Linked DNA regions of Arabidopsis thaliana. The protein of the gene in region 3 interacts with the protein of the main gene of each other region in a pairwise test. Each region holds a gene or a part of one and is shown on either strand. Other genes may lie near its edges. The genes, in order: KAT1, KAT3 and VAMP726.

Evidence for each region.
Region 1: the proteins of VAMP726 (region 3) and KAT1 interact in a two-hybrid assay, tested with the Arabidopsis thaliana proteins (one study listed by BioGRID).
Region 2: the proteins of VAMP726 (region 3) and KAT3 interact in a two-hybrid assay, tested with the Arabidopsis thaliana proteins (one study listed by BioGRID).

The regions. Positions count from the first base shown.
Region 1 is NC_003076.8:18,742,242-18,749,687, reverse strand, and holds KAT1 (1), read left to right. Parts: upstream 1-2,281; 5' UTR 2,282-3,126; coding exon 3,127-3,305; intron 3,306-3,460; coding exon 3,461-3,676; intron 3,677-3,760; coding exon 3,761-3,916; intron 3,917-4,011; coding exon 4,012-4,069; intron 4,070-4,223; coding exon 4,224-4,541; intron 4,542-4,697; coding exon 4,698-4,937; intron 4,938-5,019; coding exon 5,020-5,118; intron 5,119-5,193; coding exon 5,194-5,412; intron 5,413-5,487; coding exon 5,488-6,036; 3' UTR 6,037-6,178; downstream 6,179-7,446. Other genes in the region: AT5G46230 (hypothetical protein (Protein of unknown function, DUF538)), read left to right, coding at 6,664-7,095. UniProt on the Arabidopsis thaliana protein: Highly selective inward-rectifying potassium channel. This voltage-gated channel could mediate long-term potassium influx into guard cells leading to stomatal opening.
Region 2 is NC_003075.7:15,750,200-15,757,543, reverse strand, and holds KAT3 (potassium channel protein), read left to right. Parts: upstream 1-2,496; 5' UTR 2,497-2,746; coding exon 2,747-3,006; intron 3,007-3,232; coding exon 3,233-3,448; intron 3,449-3,541; coding exon 3,542-3,703; intron 3,704-3,811; coding exon 3,812-3,869; intron 3,870-3,971; coding exon 3,972-4,289; intron 4,290-4,381; coding exon 4,382-4,621; intron 4,622-4,706; coding exon 4,707-4,805; intron 4,806-4,949; coding exon 4,950-4,982; intron 4,983-5,079; coding exon 5,080-5,268; intron 5,269-5,356; coding exon 5,357-5,440; intron 5,441-5,531; coding exon 5,532-5,610; intron 5,611-5,707; coding exon 5,708-5,854; intron 5,855-5,958; coding exon 5,959-6,062; 3' UTR 6,063-6,273; downstream 6,274-7,344. Other genes in the region: AME3 (Protein kinase superfamily protein), read right to left, coding at 134-182, 279-432, 525-551, 781-901, 1,059-1,148; AT4G32640 (Sec23/Sec24 protein transport family protein), read right to left, coding at 7,120-7,226. UniProt on the Arabidopsis thaliana protein: Probable modulatory (alpha) subunit of inward-rectifying potassium channels. Could mediate potassium uptake from the soil solution by plant roots in association with AKT1.
Region 3 is NC_003070.9:1,331,998-1,337,797, forward strand, and holds VAMP726 (vesicle-associated membrane protein 726), read left to right. Parts: upstream 1-2,601; 5' UTR 2,602-2,762; coding exon 2,763-2,952; intron 2,953-3,334; coding exon 3,335-3,476; intron 3,477-3,565; coding exon 3,566-3,686; intron 3,687-3,770; coding exon 3,771-3,833; intron 3,834-3,926; coding exon 3,927-4,073; 3' UTR 4,074-4,480; exon of another isoform or gene 4,481-4,559; 3' UTR 4,560-4,566; downstream 4,567-5,800. Other genes in the region: VAMP721 (vesicle-associated membrane protein 721), read right to left, coding at 1-3, 140-202, 392-512, 592-733, 1,240-1,429; AT1G04770 (Tetratricopeptide repeat (TPR)-like superfamily protein), read right to left, coding at 4,567-4,989, 5,090-5,245, 5,347-5,559, 5,651-5,770. UniProt on the Arabidopsis thaliana protein: Involved in the targeting and/or fusion of transport vesicles to their target membrane.

The DNA.
Region 1 (7,446 bases), on a different chromosome or scaffold from region 3:
AATAAAAAATATAATAATTAGACGCATTTTGATAATAGAAAAACTCTAAATTTTCAATAAAAGTCTCAACTGCCTTTACAGTCTAATATGATCATGAGAAGGGTTAAGAATAGAATAGTTGACTTTTAACTTAATGGAAGATTTACTGGAAAATGTCTCTATCTGTTATCTAGTATTGGACCCGTTAATAATGTGCAACGTATAATGTAGGGTACTAAATCCCAAGAAAAATCTAGATTTTCTAGATAACATATTTAACCAGAAAAGAAAAAAAATTGTAGTGGAATAGACCAGCATGGTTCAATCTGGTCGTTACTAAAACTACCAATCCAAAACCTACCAACTATAATACAATATGACTACAAATACGGTTTTGAAGATTAATTCGCGGCTAACCATCAAAAAATAATGTTTGACGATGGCTCATGGTTCCACTCGCCAACCATATACAGTTTATATTCTCTTTTGAGACCTCAAAATCAAGTTACTAGAACTCGATGATCTTACATGAATATAAAATGAAAATCAGCTCCAATGTAGTTTGAAGAAGGTATAAAACAGGTTTAGACCAACCGATTCCAAGACTTATGATGGCCCACAACAACAAAAATAACTAACAAATTTTTAGACCCTACACTACTCTTAGCATGCATGTGACAGCTTAAACTTAAATTTAAACAGTTAACATGAACAACCCCACTTGCACTAGGAAGACAGCAAATAGCAAACTTAAAGCAGTTTACGATTTCTGGTCTTTTAAGGCAAGGTTTAGTAACCCAGTAATTCCTTTTGATTTGAAATATATGAATAACCGAAATTAAAAAACAAAAAAAAAATCACAAAATACTAAAATTTGAAAGCCGAAATAATTCATTTTTCAATAGTTATAATCATCTTTTAAAAAGTAAGTTAGATCATAAAACCTAATATAAAACTTTTATTGGCAAAACTAATTAATCACGAGAAAATAATATTAAAGTTAGCTCATGTTATGTTTATATTAGGAATCTCTCATTTACTTTATTTTGTTTTGTTTTGTTTCTATAATGATATTAGGATTCAGGAAGACAATAAACAAAATATCAACAAGGAATCATGAAAGATACATTCGAACGGGCTCAGATCGACGCAGAAACAAAAAGCTTTGGAATGATTTAATAATACAAATTTGGCGGAAAGGTTTGAAGAATTTATACTTGGCATTCTATACTAGCGAACGAAAACAAAAGTTTAGTCAAATATTTAGGATTACCAAAAAATCAATATTCGTATACAAATGTGTTTTATTATAAACCATGATTTTTCATAACTTTATTCTTAGTTGTTTCAATTTGTTTTCTCTCATTTCTCGTTCCTATTGTAGAAAAAATTCCTGATTCTTTTTTCTTTTCTTTTGTTTTCCCATGTCAATTATAACCGCATTAGAAAAGGTTAGCACATGTTCATTTGCACAGAATGTAGTCAATGTACAATTCATCTATAATTTATCACCTTTTTGTTAAAAATATTTATAGCCATGTTATATATATTTTATCATGTTGTGTTTTAAACTCTAGATTTGTTCTTTCACAGTTTATGGGATTTATCATTTCATATATTTCCTCCTATGAGTAAGATGTCATTTTTAAATTCTTAATTAAGAATTTAGAAATCAAGTTTATTATTTTGTTAAAATTTATAAATTACGTATTTTTCCTTTATTAGTGAGATTAAGATATAAAGAGTCTAGCACACTAGAGAAATGAAAACATACATATATCTAGAAAGGGTTTATAAGAAATTAGTAAATGGAATCAGAACATGAAGGAGAAGGGAGGGGCCACCATACCGACGGGAATGAGAAGTATGGGACGGACAAGAAATCAAGTGTACACACATGAAAAAACCCACCACGTGAAGATCTCCTATTGGTGTGTCTTCTCCTAAGTACTAAGTATAAACCAAAGTCAAAACACAACAAAGACATATTGCTTGCGAGCCAGCGAGTGTGTCCGAGTGAGAAGAGAGTTTGGGACTTCACTGTTTAGAGAGCCTCATTCGCTACCTAGATTCGGTTTATCCACGTGGAGAGTTCACGTAGCTTCTATAATAATAATACATTATATAAGCTGTTTCGGTAAAATAATCTTAGAGTTTCACTTCCCATGCAAAAAGATTAAATGGACTACTATATTTTCTATATGAGTGTTTTGGAAATAATCTTCCAAGTTTATGGCTATTTAGTAAAACTCAATCCAAAATGAGAACAATAACTTTTTTTTTTTTTTTTTTGCAATGAGTACAATAAACTTATGATTGGTTTTGGGGACTAGAAAATAAAATAGAGACATATACTTTAAGAATAGTTGATGAGAAAATAAAACTTTTTTCGAAGAAAGAAAAAAAAATATACTCTGGCCCCTTACATATTCTGTCAAATGCCATTTTATTTTCTTTATTTTGCTTGGTCCATTTCTGGATTCCTGAAATGAACACACCATAATTTTCATGCCCATTTTTGTCCTCCCATTAACACTTACCAAACACCAAACGTACCTTCCTTCCTTTATATGTGTCTCTATGTCTATATATCACTCCCACCTTCAAATGCTAGGAAAGTGGACATCACACCATAGTCTGATAGTCATGAATCTCATCAAGTAGAAACCTCCAAAGAAACAGATTGCGTTTCCTCTTCTTCTTCCTCCTCTTTCGAATCTTATATTTTCGTGTCAAAAAAGAAACAAAATATGATGATATCTACCGCAAAAGCTCAATGTTTGCCACTTAAATTCTGTCTCATCTCTCAAGATTTTTGATCATCTCACACTTACTCCGTTCCGCATTTTACGCCTTTTCTTCACCATTGTTGCTTCTCGAATCGAAACCATATTGGTTTTGCAGCATTAATGGTGCACTGAGTCTTCTTAAAGCCGTTAACCTTTCCCTGCCAAATTCTCAACCAAAAAGAAAAAAAGATAACAAATGGGTCACAACAAGTTGCCATAAAGGTCCCAACAGAAGAAGAAAAGAGAAGTTTCCCCGTGTTGCTTTGTCACAAGCTTCATCACTATTTATAACTACCTTGCCAAGAAGAAAGCCTAAAAAGGTATAACAGTTTCTTTGTCTTTAGAGATCATCAAAAAGATGTCGATCTCTTGGACTCGAAATTTCTTCGAAAGATTCTGCGTCGAGGAATACAATATAGACACCATAAAACAGAGTAGTTTCCTCTCTGCCGATCTTCTACCATCTCTTGGAGCCAGGATCAACCAATCTACTAAGCTCCGCAAACACATAATCTCTCCTTTTAATCCACGTTACAGGTAATTTTCTCATCTACTAAACTCTGTTTTAAGTACTCTGTTTTCAACTATGTTTTCAACTATTCAGGTTATAAGTAGTTTTAACTACTCTGTTTTTACTCACGTTATAAGTATATTTAAAGACTCTGTTTTCAATCCTCTGTTTGTTGAAACAGAGCGTGGGAGATGTGGCTAGTATTACTAGTTATTTACTCAGCTTGGATTTGCCCATTTCAATTTGCTTTCATCACCTATAAAAAAGACGCGATTTTCATCATCGACAACATTGTTAATGGCTTCTTCGCCATTGATATTATTCTCACCTTCTTCGTCGCTTATCTCGATAGCCACTCCTATCTTCTAGTTGACAGTCCTAAGAAAATAGCAATAAGGTGAGAAACCTTTTTTCTTAACTTGAAACCTTTTATAAGTGAATGAGAATCTCAAAGTATGTTTTGAAATTGTAACATTTTCAGGTACCTTTCGACGTGGTTCGCTTTCGATGTTTGTTCCACAGCACCATTTCAGCCACTAAGCCTCTTGTTTAACTACAACGGAAGCGAACTAGGATTCAGAATTCTTAGCATGCTCAGGTTATGGCGTCTCCGGCGAGTTAGCTCGCTATTTGCAAGGTTTGCTTCTATGCTAACTAAGAGACCATACTCTTCTTAGGGTTTAACTAAGAAAGTGCTTACTCAAGTCTAACTAACTCTTACCTTTGCTTCAGGCTTGAGAAAGATATCCGTTTCAACTATTTCTGGATACGTTGCACAAAACTCATTTCGGTTAGTTCCAAAACAGAGCAAAACTAATCTCACTTATAATAAAGCATTTTAAGCTTAGGGCTGTCCATTTAGGTGATCTATTCTTAGGGTTTATTTGTCTTTTAAATGGACACCATATTAAAGCTAGTGACTTACACGTGCTTGTTGATCTCAGGTCACTTTGTTCGCTATACATTGTGCTGGATGTTTCAACTACCTGATTGCAGATAGATATCCTAATCCAAGAAAGACATGGATTGGAGCTGTGTATCCAAATTTCAAAGAAGCAAGTCTATGGAATAGATATGTGACTGCTCTTTACTGGTCCATTACGACATTAACGACCACGGGATATGGAGATTTTCATGCTGAGAACCCAAGAGAAATGCTTTTTGACATTTTCTTCATGATGTTCAACCTCGGTTTGACAGCTTACCTCATTGGAAATATGACCAACCTCGTCGTTCATTGGACTAGCCGAACCAGAACCTTTGTAAGTTTGATCACTTTCTTTTAGTCTAGGCATGTTCATTTCGGATAAAGGTTCGGGTAATAGCGTGGGGTTTACGTACTTTTGAGTATTTTAAGTTGACTAAAATAATATTGAGTATTACTAATCTGTAATGCTTTATTGCTTTGTGTTAAACAGAGGGATTCAGTGAGAGCTGCTTCAGAGTTTGCTTCAAGAAATCAACTCCCACATGACATACAAGATCAAATGTTATCACACATTTGCTTAAAGTTCAAAACAGAGGGCTTGAAACAACAAGAGACCTTGAACAATCTGCCAAAAGCAATCCGGTCAAGCATTGCAAACTATTTATTCTTCCCCATTGTTCACAACATTTACCTCTTTCAAGGAGTTTCTCGTAACTTCCTCTTTCAATTGGTAAAATTGTATTCTCTAACCTTTTTTCTTAACGTTTAATATGTAAGAGGTGACCAACTCCATGTACCTTTTCATGTTCAAGGTTTCAGATATAGACGCTGAGTATTTCCCACCAAAAGAAGATATAATTCTACAAAACGAAGCTCCTACTGATCTTTACATTCTGGTGTCAGGAGCAGTGGTGAGTGAAATATATCGGTTATATGTAAATATGTGAATAACAGTTAGGAATCTTGTAACATTGTGTATTGTACAGGACTTCACTGTCTACGTTGATGGACATGATCAGTTTCAAGGGAAAGCAGTAATTGGAGAAACATTTGGAGAGGTTGGAGTTTTATACTATAGACCACAACCATTCACAGTAAGAACAACCGAGCTATCTCAAATACTGCGGATAAGCAGAACATCGCTGATGAGTGCGATGCATGCTCATGCTGACGATGGACGAGTCATCATGAACAATCTCTTCATGGTATGTGAGTTATTATAGAAATGTTTCTATAGTTAAAACAAACTCTAAACTCATTTTTGGCTATAAAACTTTCAGAAACTTAGAGGGCAACAGTCAATAGCAATAGATGATTCGAATACTAGTGGTCACGAAAACAGAGATTTCAAAAGCATGGGATGGGAAGAGTGGAGAGATTCAAGAAAAGATGGCTATGGTTTAGATGTTACGAATCCGACTTCCGACACTGCTCTAATGGATGCGATTCACAAGGAAGATACTGAAATGGTTAAGAAGATACTTAAGGAACAAAAGATAGAGAGAGCCAAAGTGGAAAGATCAAGTAGTGAAACCGCTGGAAGAAGTTACGCTAACGATTCATCGAAAAAAGATCCATATTGCAGCTCAAGCAACCAAATCATCAAGCCATGCAAACGAGAAGAAAAGAGAGTTACCATCCACATGATGTCTGAGAGCAAGAACGGGAAGTTGATACTCTTACCATCATCCATAGAAGAGCTTCTAAGACTTGCAAGTGAGAAGTTTGGAGGCTGCAACTTCACAAAGATCACCAATGCGGACAACGCTGAGATTGATGATTTAGATGTCATTTGGGATGGTGATCATTTGTATTTTTCATCAAATTGAGTTTGAAAACTCGACTTCATTTATAGAGCATGTATATCTGCAGATAATGTATTTTTACCCGGTTTCATAGAAAAGTCTAGATTATCAAAAGCAGAGTATACAAAACTGACATTAATTGACACAAAAACACAATCTTATTTCACAGCTTGACTATGATACATTGATACCGTTCTGTTTGAACACAAAACATTATTCTACACGAGTCTTCTGCTTTGAACTTGTTTCACATGATAAATCAAGAAAATTTTATTTTTCTCTATTATCAATAAAGATTTTAAGAAATTTACCTATTAAAAAGACGAAATTTTTTTTTCAGAAAATTAAGCGTATATTCAGTTTGATTTATTTTAAATTTAAACACTTCAACATGTTTGTAATAAAAAAAAATCAAAATAAGAAATTCTCGAATGTATTTTATATTCAATCAACGAATAAAATAAATTATTCCACGAACATGAACTGCATGCGTCCCACCTCATTTTATACGAAATTTCCATGTTACCCTCTCTAATACTATTCTCCTTCCTCTTCCACAGACCCAATTTCGTCATTCAATTCCAAAACTCACACCTCTATATAAATCCAGCAAAAAGTCCCCAAAAAGTCACCACCACAAATCTCATCGAAATGTCGTCTCAAGAAACGAAATCAGATCAAAGAGAAGGAGCAGAGATCTGCAATGGCGAATCAAACTGCAAACAGAAAGCCAAAGAGATTTTATCAACCATGAATCTACCCAAAGGTCTTCTTCCTCTAGACAACATGACAGAGATCGGTCACAACAAATCAACCGGTTATGTCTGGATCAAGATCAAGAACAAGGTTCAACATCGGTTTAAAGCCATTGGACGAAACGTATCTTACGATTCGGAGGTTACTGCGATCCTTGAGAATCGTCGGATGAGTCAGCTCACGGGAATCAAGAGCAAAGAGATTTTGATTTGGGTTACGATCTCTGAGATCTTTGTTAATCATCAAGATCCGACTCAAATCACTTTTGCTAATCCTACGGGACTATCACGTACTTTCCCCGTCACTGCTTTTGAAGAAGACGAATGATTCATTTGTCAACGCTCACCATCATGATACTTTGCTTAGCTAAATTATCTTTTGTTTTTTCCTTATAATTCCTTTTGTTTAGCTAAGTTCTATTTTCAACATTTGTATTTCTGCATCTTTTCCATTAGAGATTTTATAAAAATAATAATATAGAAAGACAAAATGTATAATTAAAAAACAAACAAATTCCTTTGGAAAATCTGAGATAGTGGTGATGCATGTTTGCTACAACTTATAAACCAAAAATAGTAAGAAAATGAGAAGATTAAATATAATTCTCGTGTTTTTGGTTCGAAATATTATAATAGAATGAGTTTGATGTAAATATAAAACCGGTTGGTTCGGTTCAAA
Region 2 (7,344 bases), on a different chromosome or scaffold from region 3:
TAGCCAGAAATATTATGATTCATTCATTTGTAACACTAACAAACCTCACAGGTCACTGAACATAGAACCAATTAAATATTAGAGATGCATTTGAACGGTGGTGGAAATCAATGAGCTTAGTTGGGATACTTACAATGCAAATATGATTTCGGTAATCAAACCAGTTCTTCATCTGTACACAGCTGCAAGGACAAAGCAGAAATGAAGAAACTGAGCAATGATATACACCTCTGAAGGAAACGATGTCATCAACTAAAGTCTAGAAGATAAATAAATACCGTGTGCGGCCTTTATCACTCTTAACAAGTTTCTGAAGTACATCAATTTCAATCATTGCTGCATCCCGGTATTTCTTAATGCTTCGAATTATCTTTATTGCCACATATTCTTTTGTATCACGATCCCAACATTCCAAAACCCGACCAAATGTGCCTACAACACCAGCAAGTTCACTGAAATGGCACGATTTGATTCACATAAACATTTTTTTTATCTCGAACACACCATGCCACTTGACAGCTAACCTTCACCCATCTTGCTAAGTATTTTATCTGTCAAAAGTCAAAACAGAACACACAATAGCGTAAGTTAAGCAATTAAAAATGTTCAGGAAGGATTCTCATCCCAATGAAACGAAAGCGAAAAAAGATTATCCCTAAGGCAATGGTGCCAAACAAAACAAAGAGTTACTAGCAACAATACACATATAGAAGCAACATAGGTAAATATCTTAGCTCACATAGAATAGAAAGTTAGCAACTTTATCCATCAAAAACTCACATCTAGGAGTGAGATTGTCCCTCAAACTGAAAACATAATGACCATCACGATCATCGTCCCTTAATGGTGGTGACAAAATCCTCCCATCGCTTCCATGTCCTTTAATCACAGCCCTTTTAGCCTATCACAAAAAAGTCAAAATTCATTCATTGTCAGCATATCAAAATCTCACCAAAGAAACATAAATGCTCGGTCTTTCCTCCACATTCTAAACCCTAATTCGAAGTTCTAAATGTCAAAGATTAATTAAAAAAAGAAGAAGAAGAAAGAGGAGCAACCTCTGGTTCAGCTGGGGCCTCGTCCCAGGTCATACGAGGACGTTTCCTGACTCGTTCTTTATCCATACTCTCGAATCCGTTAGCTATCATCACCGACGCGGAAAATCGATCACCGACACATCCAGAACGGAATCTGATGCCAATCTGCAGCTAAAAGAGGGAAAATTTCTACCAGAAACTCTTTACGTAGATGTAATCACAAGGCGGCGAATCGGGGAGAAGGTGATAATCTCCGAAAATGGTGAAAACAGAGGAATTGCTAGGGTTTGGAACTAGAGAGAGTGCAAGAGAAAGACAACTCCCAATAATTTTACCGGCCAAATCCCTTGGGGTCGAACCGCGACGACATCCACCAATTGCATTTTTTTTGCACTTTCCACCGAAAAAATTGGGTCTACACGATCACCCGGAATGTTTCGCCCACCCGGCCCAAATGAAATGTGGTGAGATCTTCTTATAATCTTGGCCCAAATTTCCATCATGGATCTTAAACGTTCGTTTCATTGTTTCTTGGATTTTTTTTCATTAACTGGTCCATCTCAAAATGGGCTTCCATAAAAATGGGCTTTTTTACAAAAGGGTTTTGTTTCATTAATTGATTTTCGTGTTTTTTTATCCGTAACAATTATGCTTTCGTTTCCTAATTTATACGAGCAAACGTAAAAATGTATAGTATTTGACTATTTGGTTTTACGTATCAACAATCAACAACATACTGTACATCAGTACATACACAATTTTTTTTTAACATACACAAACTTACTTTATGTACAAATGAACTATTAAGAAATGGCTTTAGCCTTGTTATTGCATGCATCTTCTTAATTTGTGTATGTGAAATTCTTCATAGGAGCTAATTAAGGGACGAAGACAAAGTGTATCCCCCTTCATGTATTACCTAAACGTATCTTAGAATTTCAAAACATTGTTTTCCTTAGAATTTTTTAAAAAAATTGTAAACATGCACATCCAACACTGGAAAGTGGAAAGAAGTATATATATATGATATGTTATCTCAAAAAAACTGAAATGATTGTATTAAAAACATACTAAATTCTGACTGATGATAGATATTGATACGTAATTCATTTGTTTATTATTGTTCGTTTTGTTTTCAACACTACTATTCCTGTCACGGTCTCATTTAATAACAACAACAAAAAAGACGTCAAGATTTGACTTTTGAGTTCCTCAATTTTTTCAACTCCAGTATTTAAACAGCTAATTATTACATAATTTATCGTAAGAAAAAAAAAAAAAAAAACCTTATCCCCCTGATATTGTAGATCTCGATTGTAATCACTACACCTGATGCCACATTAAATACACACAGAGACGTAAATAAGAGTCAAAAAAGTCGATGAAGCCTTCTGCATATATAACAACAAAGTTGAATATATAAAGAGTAAAATTCATCATACTACAATCTTGAAAAATTATAATTTATTAGATGGTTAAGTAAATTTGTTTTATAGTATTGTTATATTCTTTTTTTCCAAAAAATATAGGGAAAACAAAAACCAGTAAAAAAAAAAGTCAACTTAATTTGCTCACCACCTTCTTGATCATCTAAACACCTCTTTAATAATTCAAAACTAAAAAAAAAAGGTATAAATGAAAGAGACAAAAGAGGGAAGTATATATCATCAAGCTTGAAGAAGAGAGAGAAGAAGAAGAAGGAAAAAAGAATGTCTACGACGACTACTGAGGCGAGATCACCGTTGCCGTTGTTGTTGAGAAGAGGAAGGTCTTCGACGGCGTTATCGGCGTCGACGGCGGAAGCAAGATCGCCGTTATCGATACTGCAGTTCAGAAGAAGATCGAGCAAAGATGTGAGGAACATAACGTCAGTTTCGAGCAGTCTCTTGCCTGCTTTTGGGACTTTCATCGAAGATGATAATCCTTCTTCCAAACCTTTCATCGTTCTTCACTTTGATCGTCGTTACAGGTTCATTTCTCACTAACTAAACAACGAAGAAATGTTTTTTGGTTATCAAACAATAAATAGTGATTTACAGATTTCATAACTTTTCTGTTTCTATTAGTCCATAAATTAATGATCAAATGATTCGTTCATTAATTTTCATATTTTTACGTCTTAAAATTGTTATTTCTTATTAATATTCATATATCTTAATTTTTTTTTAATCTTTCCATATAAAAATTAATGGTAGGTTGTGGGAATTGTTTTTGGTGATATTGGTTGGGTATTCGGCGTGGGCATCTTTGTTCGAGTTGGCTTTCGAGAAAGCTGCCGAAGGAGCGTTATTGACCATTGATCTCGTCGTTGACTTCTTCTTCGCCGTTGATATCATCCTCACCTTTTTTGTTTCCTACTTGGATAATACTACTTACCTCAATGTCACCGACCACAAGCTCATCGCCAAACGGTAACAAATCAATTTGTTTTTATATGTTAAAAAAATAACATAAGTAAAATGAATAAGTTAGAATTGAATTATATATGTTGTGCATTATTATAGGTACTTGAAGAGCGTGGCTTTTGTGATGGACGTAGCATCAACGTTACCCATTCAATTCATTTATAAAACTATTACCGGAGATGTCGGACGAGGCCAAGCTTTCGGCTTCCTTAATTTACTCCGCCTCTGGCGTCTCCGTCGTGTAGCCGAACTCTTTAAAAGGTTTTTTCTTTACTACTTTCTATATAATATGCAATATTGAAATCCACTTATCATATAGTACATATGTGTGTGTCTATTTTACACTTCCTTTCTTTCTTTTTTTAACAGACTAGAGAAAGACGCACATTTCAACTATTTCGTGATCCGAGTCATCAAACTTCTATGTGTAAGTTTTACTTATATTGAATTATCTATATGTGGTCCATACAATCACTAAATTGGCTATGTCAATCTATGACTTTTATTCAAATTGTGAAATTTGATTCAGGTAACGATATTTTGGATACATTTGGCGGGTTGCATTTTATACTGGATAGCCTACCATTATCCAAGGCCTACGGATACATGGATAGGATCGCAAGTTGAGGATTTTAAGGAAAGAAGTGTATGGTTAGGGTACACTTACTCAATGTACTGGTCCATTGTCACACTCACTACCGTGGGTTACGGTGATTTGCATGCAGTTAATAGCCGTGAGAAGACATTCAACATGTTCTACATGCTTTTCAACATTGGCCTCACTTCTTATATCATCGGTATCATGACCAATCTAGTTGTCCATGGCGCTCTTCGTACATTCGCCATGGTATATAATCATTCATTGCTTAAACCCGAAAAGATTGTTTACTCATTCATTTACTCTACCAGTCGTACAATAATCATTCTTCTGCTGAACAGAGGAGTGCGATCAATGATATATTGCGATACACAAGCAAGAACAGGTTACCGGATACAATGAGGGAACAGATGCTTGCACATATGCAGCTCAAGTTCAAGACCGCGGAGTTAAGGCAAGAAGAGGTTCTTCAAGACTTACCTAAGGCCATAAGATCAAGCATTAACCAACATCTATTCCGCTCCATCATCGAAGAAGCTTATCTTTTTAAAGGATTCCCCGAAGGCCTCCTCGTCCAGCTGGTGATCGTCCATCAACAATTCCATTTTCTTTTGTTCCTTGTTAAACAAGGCAGTGGTAATTCATTCTTCTATGTTGTTGTTGTAGGTTTCGCAAATACAAGCAGAATATTTTCCGCCGAAAATGGAGATAATCTTGCAGAATGAGATTCCAACGGATTTCTACGTAATTGTATCTGGAGGAGTGGTATGATATATCTATATATCCTCTACATACTCATTCATTTATCCCGAAAAGATTGTTTACTCATTCATTTATCCCGAAAAGATTGTTTACTCATTCTTATTTATATTTGACTTCAACTGATTAAAAGAAAATTTGCAATTTTAGGATATAATTGCTTCCAAGGGTGTGAGTGAACAGGTAAAACTCTGAACAAATTTCAGTTATAAGAAAAACACATTTCATAAACTTAAAAGATTGAGATAGAGTATGAAGAGTTGGTTGATAAATGGTGAAGGTATTAGCGAAGTTAGGTCCCGGAAGTATGGCAGGAGAGATAGGAGTAGTGTTCAACATTCCTCAGCCTTTCACAGTGAGGACACGTCGACTTTCACAAGTTATCAGAATTGGTCATCATAAGTTCAAAGAAATGGTGCAGTCTGATAATGACGTCGACGCCAAAATGATCATTGCCAATTTCATGACAGTAAGTTTACATTCACAAAACGGTAGTAACATCAATATAGTGTTTATATTGTAACACTAATAATTAATGTTTCTTTCTTTAATTTCAGTATCTTAAGGGATTGAATGATGAGTTAAAAAAAGAAATTCCTTTTCTTAGAGATTTATTAGATGACGCAGATGCTCAGGTTCAGGTATATATACCTTCTTATAACAAATAATGCATAGTCCTCTCGTCAAAATTGTCAAGTGAGTTTGAGATGAAAACGCATTTTTTGGTGACAGGAAACAGTTCAGTCAGAGGAAACACCACAAAGTAACGATGAGGAAATAGTTACGGTCTCAAGACATGAAAATGGACAGAGTAAGAAGACATTTTTTTTTGTTGAAGACAGAGTAAAATGAACATGTTTTTTTGTATGTATAGAGACCCTTTTTTTAACAATGACATTTGATTGCAGTAGAAGAGAGAAGAAGAGAGGGAGTTCCAAAAAGAGTGATAATTCATGGACAAGCTCCTCCTAATCAAGATAACAAAAACAATGGTGATTCCAACGGTAGACTTATCATTTTACCTGACTCTATCCAACTTCTATTCGACTTAGCTGGTCAGTTTCACTCTTATGATGTCACTTCTCTTTACTTATACATTGAAAGTTTTTTAAAATTTAATATACTTTATATTGAACTCATAAAACTATGGTGGATGCAGAGAAGAAGTTGGGGAAACGAGGAAGCACGATTGCAATGGCAGATGGTGCACATGTTGAACAAATTGATGCTCTTCGAGAAAACGATCATTTATATATTTTCTAATTCGTTTATAAATATATATATTCACAATTATCACTTCCCACACAAATAATGATACAAAAAAAACTATATTTTTGTTAGCGTAAGGTGCTTATGAAAAGATGCAAAGTCAGATATATGAAAATATAAGGTGAAGATCGAATTCCCAATTCCACTATTATGAACTTGCTTCTTATCTTTTTGACATCTTGAACTTAAAATTATGTTTGATTGAAGATTGCATTAGCATACAACAAAAGTACCATTGTTGCATACATTTTAGCATTTTCTCTTATTACTGAAACAATTCTCTTTAAAACATTTGCATCAACGGCTACTTATAAAGTAACTAAAAACCATAAAAGCAGTGAACACTGGAGAAGATTGACCTATCAATAATGGTGATGATCATTCTCAAATAGGGGGTCTCCTGTTCGATATTCGTCATTGGATGGCAAAACTATCCAACGTCACTCTTCTCCACGTCAATCGTGAACGAAATAGTGCTGCAGATAAGATGGCTCAATATGTTTTGTCTACTACTACTCTGTATCAGTCTTTTATTGTTCCTCCTCGTTTCTTACTCTCTTATTTGTATCAACCTTATACAATCTAATAAAGTTGTAGTAGTAGTTGTTAAAAAAAAAAGAAAATAACAATTATTTCATATTTTACACTGCATTGTACATCAAAGACTTTTATTTGTATATTCGGTAACAACCAACAAAAAAAAAAGTATTTGAAAGGAAATTCTTAGTTCGAAACTCAAATAACACAAAAAAATAACCATACAAAAAAGATTAGCTAAGGACTCTTTTGTATAATTCTTTATAGTAAAAAAAAAAAAAAAGACAAAACAACAGTGGAGACTATTATCTAAGTACAACTTTAAAATGTCGTGAAGCTTCTCAAGTTGAAGTAGTCTATGCTCTCTTTTCCTTCAAACAAGAAGAAAACTTCTCAAGCAGCCATAAGACCGATGCCCTTTCCCCTTCTGCTATGCTTTTCTACCGCAAATTCCGAACATGACACAGATGCAGATGGGAGGAAACTTCTGTAAGGACTCCTAGAAAACAGAGGATCAGTTCATTTTTAGCTGGATTTGGCGATGGACTTGCACGAGAAACTCCACATACGACGGGCCGCTTGCTGTCCTGTCCTCTACCATATACGAGAGAAACAACATTCCTGAAAAGTACCAAATATCATAAGAACAAATCAGCATCGACAAGGTTCTATGAAATCAACACCGAGTAAGCAAAAATAAATGTTCATTTCGCAAAATAATATTAGATGACAGGATCTA
Region 3 (5,800 bases):
TGCCTGTGGCAGTTTGAGTTCAGTTAGACACAAGATATGGTAATAGGATGAGTCAGCTATGAACTCAAAAAGCATGTTCATCTTTGTGTGTGAGTGTAGGCAAATAGATGCAGGAGATAAGGGTATGAGAGAGTCTAACCTGTGAGCGAAGATTTTCGGTTTTGTCCACCAAAAGCTCAATTTTCTCACCACGGTCAAGAACCTGCAAATAATGAGTCGCATATGTAAGCGGTGTTACATTGGTAAACTGGACATTTCCCGTAAGATGTAATGCATTGAATTATTAGTAATTGATTTCACAGTAACTTAGTATGACTAGATGAGCTCTTTCAGATGGGTCAACCATAGATGTAAATATATACATTGAGGACAGAAAGGGTCAGATTCAAACCTTCTCAATGTTTTCCATCATTACACCCTTAACTTCTGACACTTGCGCCTTCACCTTAGCAAGCTTGCTAATCTCATCAGGATGATCCATGCAATACTGCATATGCTCTTTCAGTTTAGAGCTTCAAAGTTACCAAAAAGAGTCAGTCCACGAATATAAAAGAGAAGATCATCCAAATAGAAGAGATAATGAAAAAGTACCCAAACTCCTTATTCAAGCTGTTTGCTTGAGCAGTTGCAGCCTTTCCACCACCATATCGCTTGTTAAAATCTTCTTTTACTCTTTCCAAAAAGGACATGGGAATTTGCCTCCCAGCAGAATCAACCGCAACAACACAATAGGCTGTACAACAGGAACAAAATCAATCTCCTTGTCTTCCCTTACGGGATAATCAGGTGACATTGATTTAATATGAAATTGATATGGCTACAACAACTAAAGGATAGTCACAAAAGCTTACAATAAGACCCCAGATTTTCATTGAAAAATGAAGCCAGCCAAAACCCATGACCTAGGAAACTATACGCAAATAAAGCAACCAGTAAAAACCCTGTCTCAGATCAATGTTGGTGTTCTTCCACATAGTATCAACCAAAGCTACCACGGATTCTGTCCAAATCTGAGTGATTATACAGGTAAGACTCTACAGAGATTTATTGCGTTTAATAAATATAGATCTAACCCTAAAAGCTTGGTTCATGCGGTTCCTCAGTGAAATCAGACTACTCAGGATGCACAAATCCATACGAATCGATAGGTTAGGCAAATAAACCTAGAAACAAATCGAGGTAAGCACCGAATGGTGTAAGATTAAAACCTATGCATAGATCAAACGAAAAGTGACTTACTGAATCCATCTTCGACAAGGTAATTGAAGGTATGACCGTCGCAGTTGTAGGTGAACTTGTTGTTCGAAGACGGAAGCTTCTGGAGGCACTGAGCAGCGATTGAGGTGAAATTACCTTTGAAATCAGTGAACTCAACGAGGATCACCGTGCCGCGAGCTACGAAACTGTAGATCAACGATTGTTGCGCCATTTTTTCTTTACCTTAAATCTCCGATCCAATCGACCGTCTGATCAGAGAATTTTTTGGGCGGTCGCGGAAAAAAACTACAGATCTAGAAGACTATGAAAGAACAAAACGAGGACTAAAGTGGACATGGGAGAAGAAAAAGTTGAAAAGCGGGCAAGGGTAAAGTTGTCATTTAAGGTAGTCAGATTGGGTCAAAAATAGTATAAAACCTTGAATTTAAGGACTAAAAAAAAACAATTTCAAAACGGAGAGATCAAACAAATGTCGAGAAAGTTGGACCCGCCCGGATCCAGCCAAAAAGCTCGTGGACTCTGCCGATGGCACAAATTAGTAATTACCAACTTTAGGACAAGTTCAGGTCCCATGGTCGAAGAGAGTCTGTCTCTGTCTTCCTCAAAATATCTTTTTTTCCAAATTCATCATTGATCAGTGATTCCAGTATTAGCTCAGTTACGAACAAAAGGCTTAAACATAAAAACAAATGTTGTAATTAACCAAATTTCTTAATTCTTAATGGACGGGGGGAGCTCATAGTCATAGTATCTTGTTACAGCAACAAAATTCGAACTTCTACCGTTATCTCTTGTCATCTACAATTGCTCTGCATTGTTTAGAACCTGCTAATTAATTTGTTTAACGTGTTCCTAAAGATTTTGATCAACAATCAAATAATTGAAATTTAGGTAGTTAGGTTGTGGTTAGAATAGAAGGTTAGTGAATTGGAATGAAAGAAAAGGTTTGCAACATTATTTTAATTTTTTTGGTAGGAAGGTTTGCAACATTATCAATTGAACGTTCTTTTAAGTAACATAACATATAATTTATAGAAAATTTAACAACTCAAATATCCCTTACACATCGCAATTTTCTTTATAAAAAATCAATATATAATATATATATATATATATATATTTGTTTTTTAAAATGCTCATTGATAAACATTTCACATTTGAATTGAAAAACGAGCCACCGTGGTGTAAAAACATGAAGATACTATTATTAATTAGACGTGAATTATTTACCAAAATAAAGTTTATTAAGGCAATTTTCGACTATACAAATGATGAATTTTTCTTTTTATTTACTTTTTATATTTAAAAATTCAAAATTTGAACGTTACCAAAGGGAAAATAATGTCTCTGTTACTCGCGCAAATCCAGCGCTCTCATATAGTTTCTCTTCTCCGATCTCTGCGTCCTGCTTTCTCCATCGCTACCCCTCGTTCCCTTGTGTATTTTTACATCGCTTACTAATCTCTCTCATCAATTCGATCGGATTTTTGTGGTGTTCTTAGGTTTCGTTTTTTTATCTTTCTCTCATCTGGATAAAAGGAAGAATGGGACAACAATCGTTGATCTACAGCTTCGTCGCTCGCGGTACGGTGATCCTCGCCGAGTATACCGAGTTCAAGGGCAATTTCACCTCCGTCGCCGCTCAGTGTCTCCAGAAACTTCCGTCCTCGAACAACAAATTTACCTACAATTGCGACGGTCACACTTTCAATTATCTCGCTGATAATGGCTTCAGTAAGTCTCTATCTCCCGATCTGTGTCGATTTTGCTCTGTATTTCTCTGTTTATGCCTTGGTTCATCTGTTTTCTTATGAATGCTTAGTTTCGAAATCAAATGTTCGAGAACAGTGTAGCTTTGAATTTCGTAGGATATTCGTTGCTCTCGATTCTTGTGGCATTGTGTTATATTCAGATTTTCTTCTAATCAATGCCATGTCTTGATTGGATATGCAATCTGTTGTTTTCGTTCTGATTTTAATCAGCTTTATGCATGGCTTCTTTGGAATGTTTATTGTGAAGATTTTTATGTTTGGAAAGCTTTGGTTGTCCAATGCACGAATTTGCTTTAGTTGGAATGTGACAATAAGATTTCTCATTTCCCTCTGTTGTTATGCAGCCTATTGTGTTGTTGTTATTGAATCTGCTGGGAGGCAGATACCAATGGCTTTCTTGGAGAGAGTCAAGGAGGATTTCAACAAGAGATACGGTGGTGGAAAAGCTTCCACTGCTAAAGCCAACAGCTTGAACAAAGAATTCGGGTACTTTTAACATTTTTAGTCAGAGCATTTCTTTTCAATTCCATCTTTGTGGATGTGTGTTTTAAATGGTTTTGTTGTAATGAATGTAGGTCTAAATTGAAGGAGCACATGCAGTACTGTGCGGATCATCCTGAGGAGATTAGCAAACTTTCCAAAGTTAAGGCTCAGGTGACTGAAGTGAAGGGTGTTATGATGGAGAATATTGAGAAGGTTAGACTAAATTATCCATGTTTTTCATCGACAACTCCTCACCTGTAAGCTGAATGTGTTTTCTGCAATTCAATCCTATGGCAGGTCCTTGACCGTGGAGAGAAAATCGAGCTATTAGTAGACAAAACTGAGAACCTTCGCTCACAGGTTAATAATAACCACATCTCAAATACAGTATAAGAGACACTACATCACTATTATCTAGTGGTAACATGCTCTTCTTCTTCTGTTTGTTAATAGGCACAAGATTTTAGAACACAAGGAACAAAGATGAAAAGAAAGTTGTGGTTCGAAAACATGAAGATAAAGCTCATAGTCTTTGGCATCATTGTCGCTTTGATTCTCATCATCATTTTGTCGGTTTGCCATGGCTTCAAGTGTACTTAAGAACTCGATTCCGGTGGATCAGACCACCCACATAGCTACTAAGCTAATTAGAACCATCCCGGTATAGTTATCCCCTTTTATCCTTCTCTTTTGTATTTTTCCTTCTTCTTTTATTTAGGCAAACAAAAATTGACGTGGTACCCAGAATGATCCTTAGGAAATCAACTGTTTGGAAGAGAGATTTAAGCTTTTTCTTGTGTTTACTTATTATATAGGTTAGGCCTTTATGCTCTTGTAATCTACAAGTCTAATGATCGGTTTTATATTCCTCCAACCAACTTGACACATTATCTGATAGTGTTATATCTATGGATATAACATCAACTACTTTTGGAATTACTTTTGGAATGAGATCATTTGACATTGCGGTAATAACAGACAACGACACCCGAAAAAGCTTACAAGAGGTAAACTCTATTCACTCACTACATTCTTCTACCCAAAAAGGTTCCTATTCAGTATTCAAACATCAATCCAAACACACAGAGAATCATCAACAAGCCAATTGATCTCTCAGTGGTAAGATCTCTTCGAAAATCGGAAGTCTTCTTGTCCTATAAGGCCTCCTCCATTCCTTCACAAACTCATCAAGTCCTTCGACAACCGCTATCTCATCTATACCAACTTCACATTCCACAGACACAGAAGCCGCTGCTTCTTCTTCCTGTGGCTTTAGCTCACTCAATAGCTCTTGAACCCGAGCCATCAACCTCGGATCACCAGACCCTTCTTTGTTCTCCATTAGTACATCACGAAAGAGAATCGACCTCGCCTCATCGTGCTTCCCTTGCTTGATGAGACATGTGCATAAATTGCAAGCCTTGTTTGCATCTGGCTCTATCAATTGAGCTTTCCGATACACAGCTTCAGCTGCTGTATAGTCCATTAGTTGCATATAAGCCCATCCCAAGTTCCCCTGTAACACCACATTCATTCAAATTCCATCAGTTCACTGATCAAGAGACTTGAGAAATCTAATCACAACTAAAGACTAGTCGTGAGATTATTAGTCTTACCAAGATCCTAGAGGTTTCCTTCTCGACGGTGACCTGAAACTTCTTGCCATGAGATCTCGCAGTCTTTGTTGGTTTGCCATTGAATGCTTCTCCTTGATATATCATCCAAAGCTTTTGCTTCAATAACTCAACTTGCTCTTCTATTCTCCCACATTTCTGTTCAACAAAATTCGGAATCCCAAGTTTGTCAATTTCACTATCTAATAAAACGGTAACCGAGAGAAACAAGAGAATGGTCTCGGTCAGAGTTTAGTTACCTTATATAGATCGATGAGGACATTGTCTAATGACTCTTGAGCTTGTCTTGAACAAAGATCTCTAAAGGATTGAATAGCGTCAATGGCTTCTTCAGCTCTGTTCTGTTGTTTCATTAACAAGGCCATGTCTTTAAGAGCACTATCAACTCTATCTCTCGCTTTAATCGCTATCCAAAACAACTCTATCGCTGCTTCTGCATCTTTCTCCACCAACTGAACCAAACATCAAATCCAAAATCTCAGTAAAAATCAATATAAACTCGATTCCTTTGGATAAAGTCACACATATGTATATTAAATTTACCTGAACATGCTTCGCTCGGACATAAGGACTGTCTCCGTGAGGCAACTTATGGACAACGTTGTACGCCGCCGCCGACGAGTCTTGTCTCTCACCTCCTCTTCTCTGAATCATCATCATCATCGCAAACTTCGTGTCTCTGTTTCTAAATGA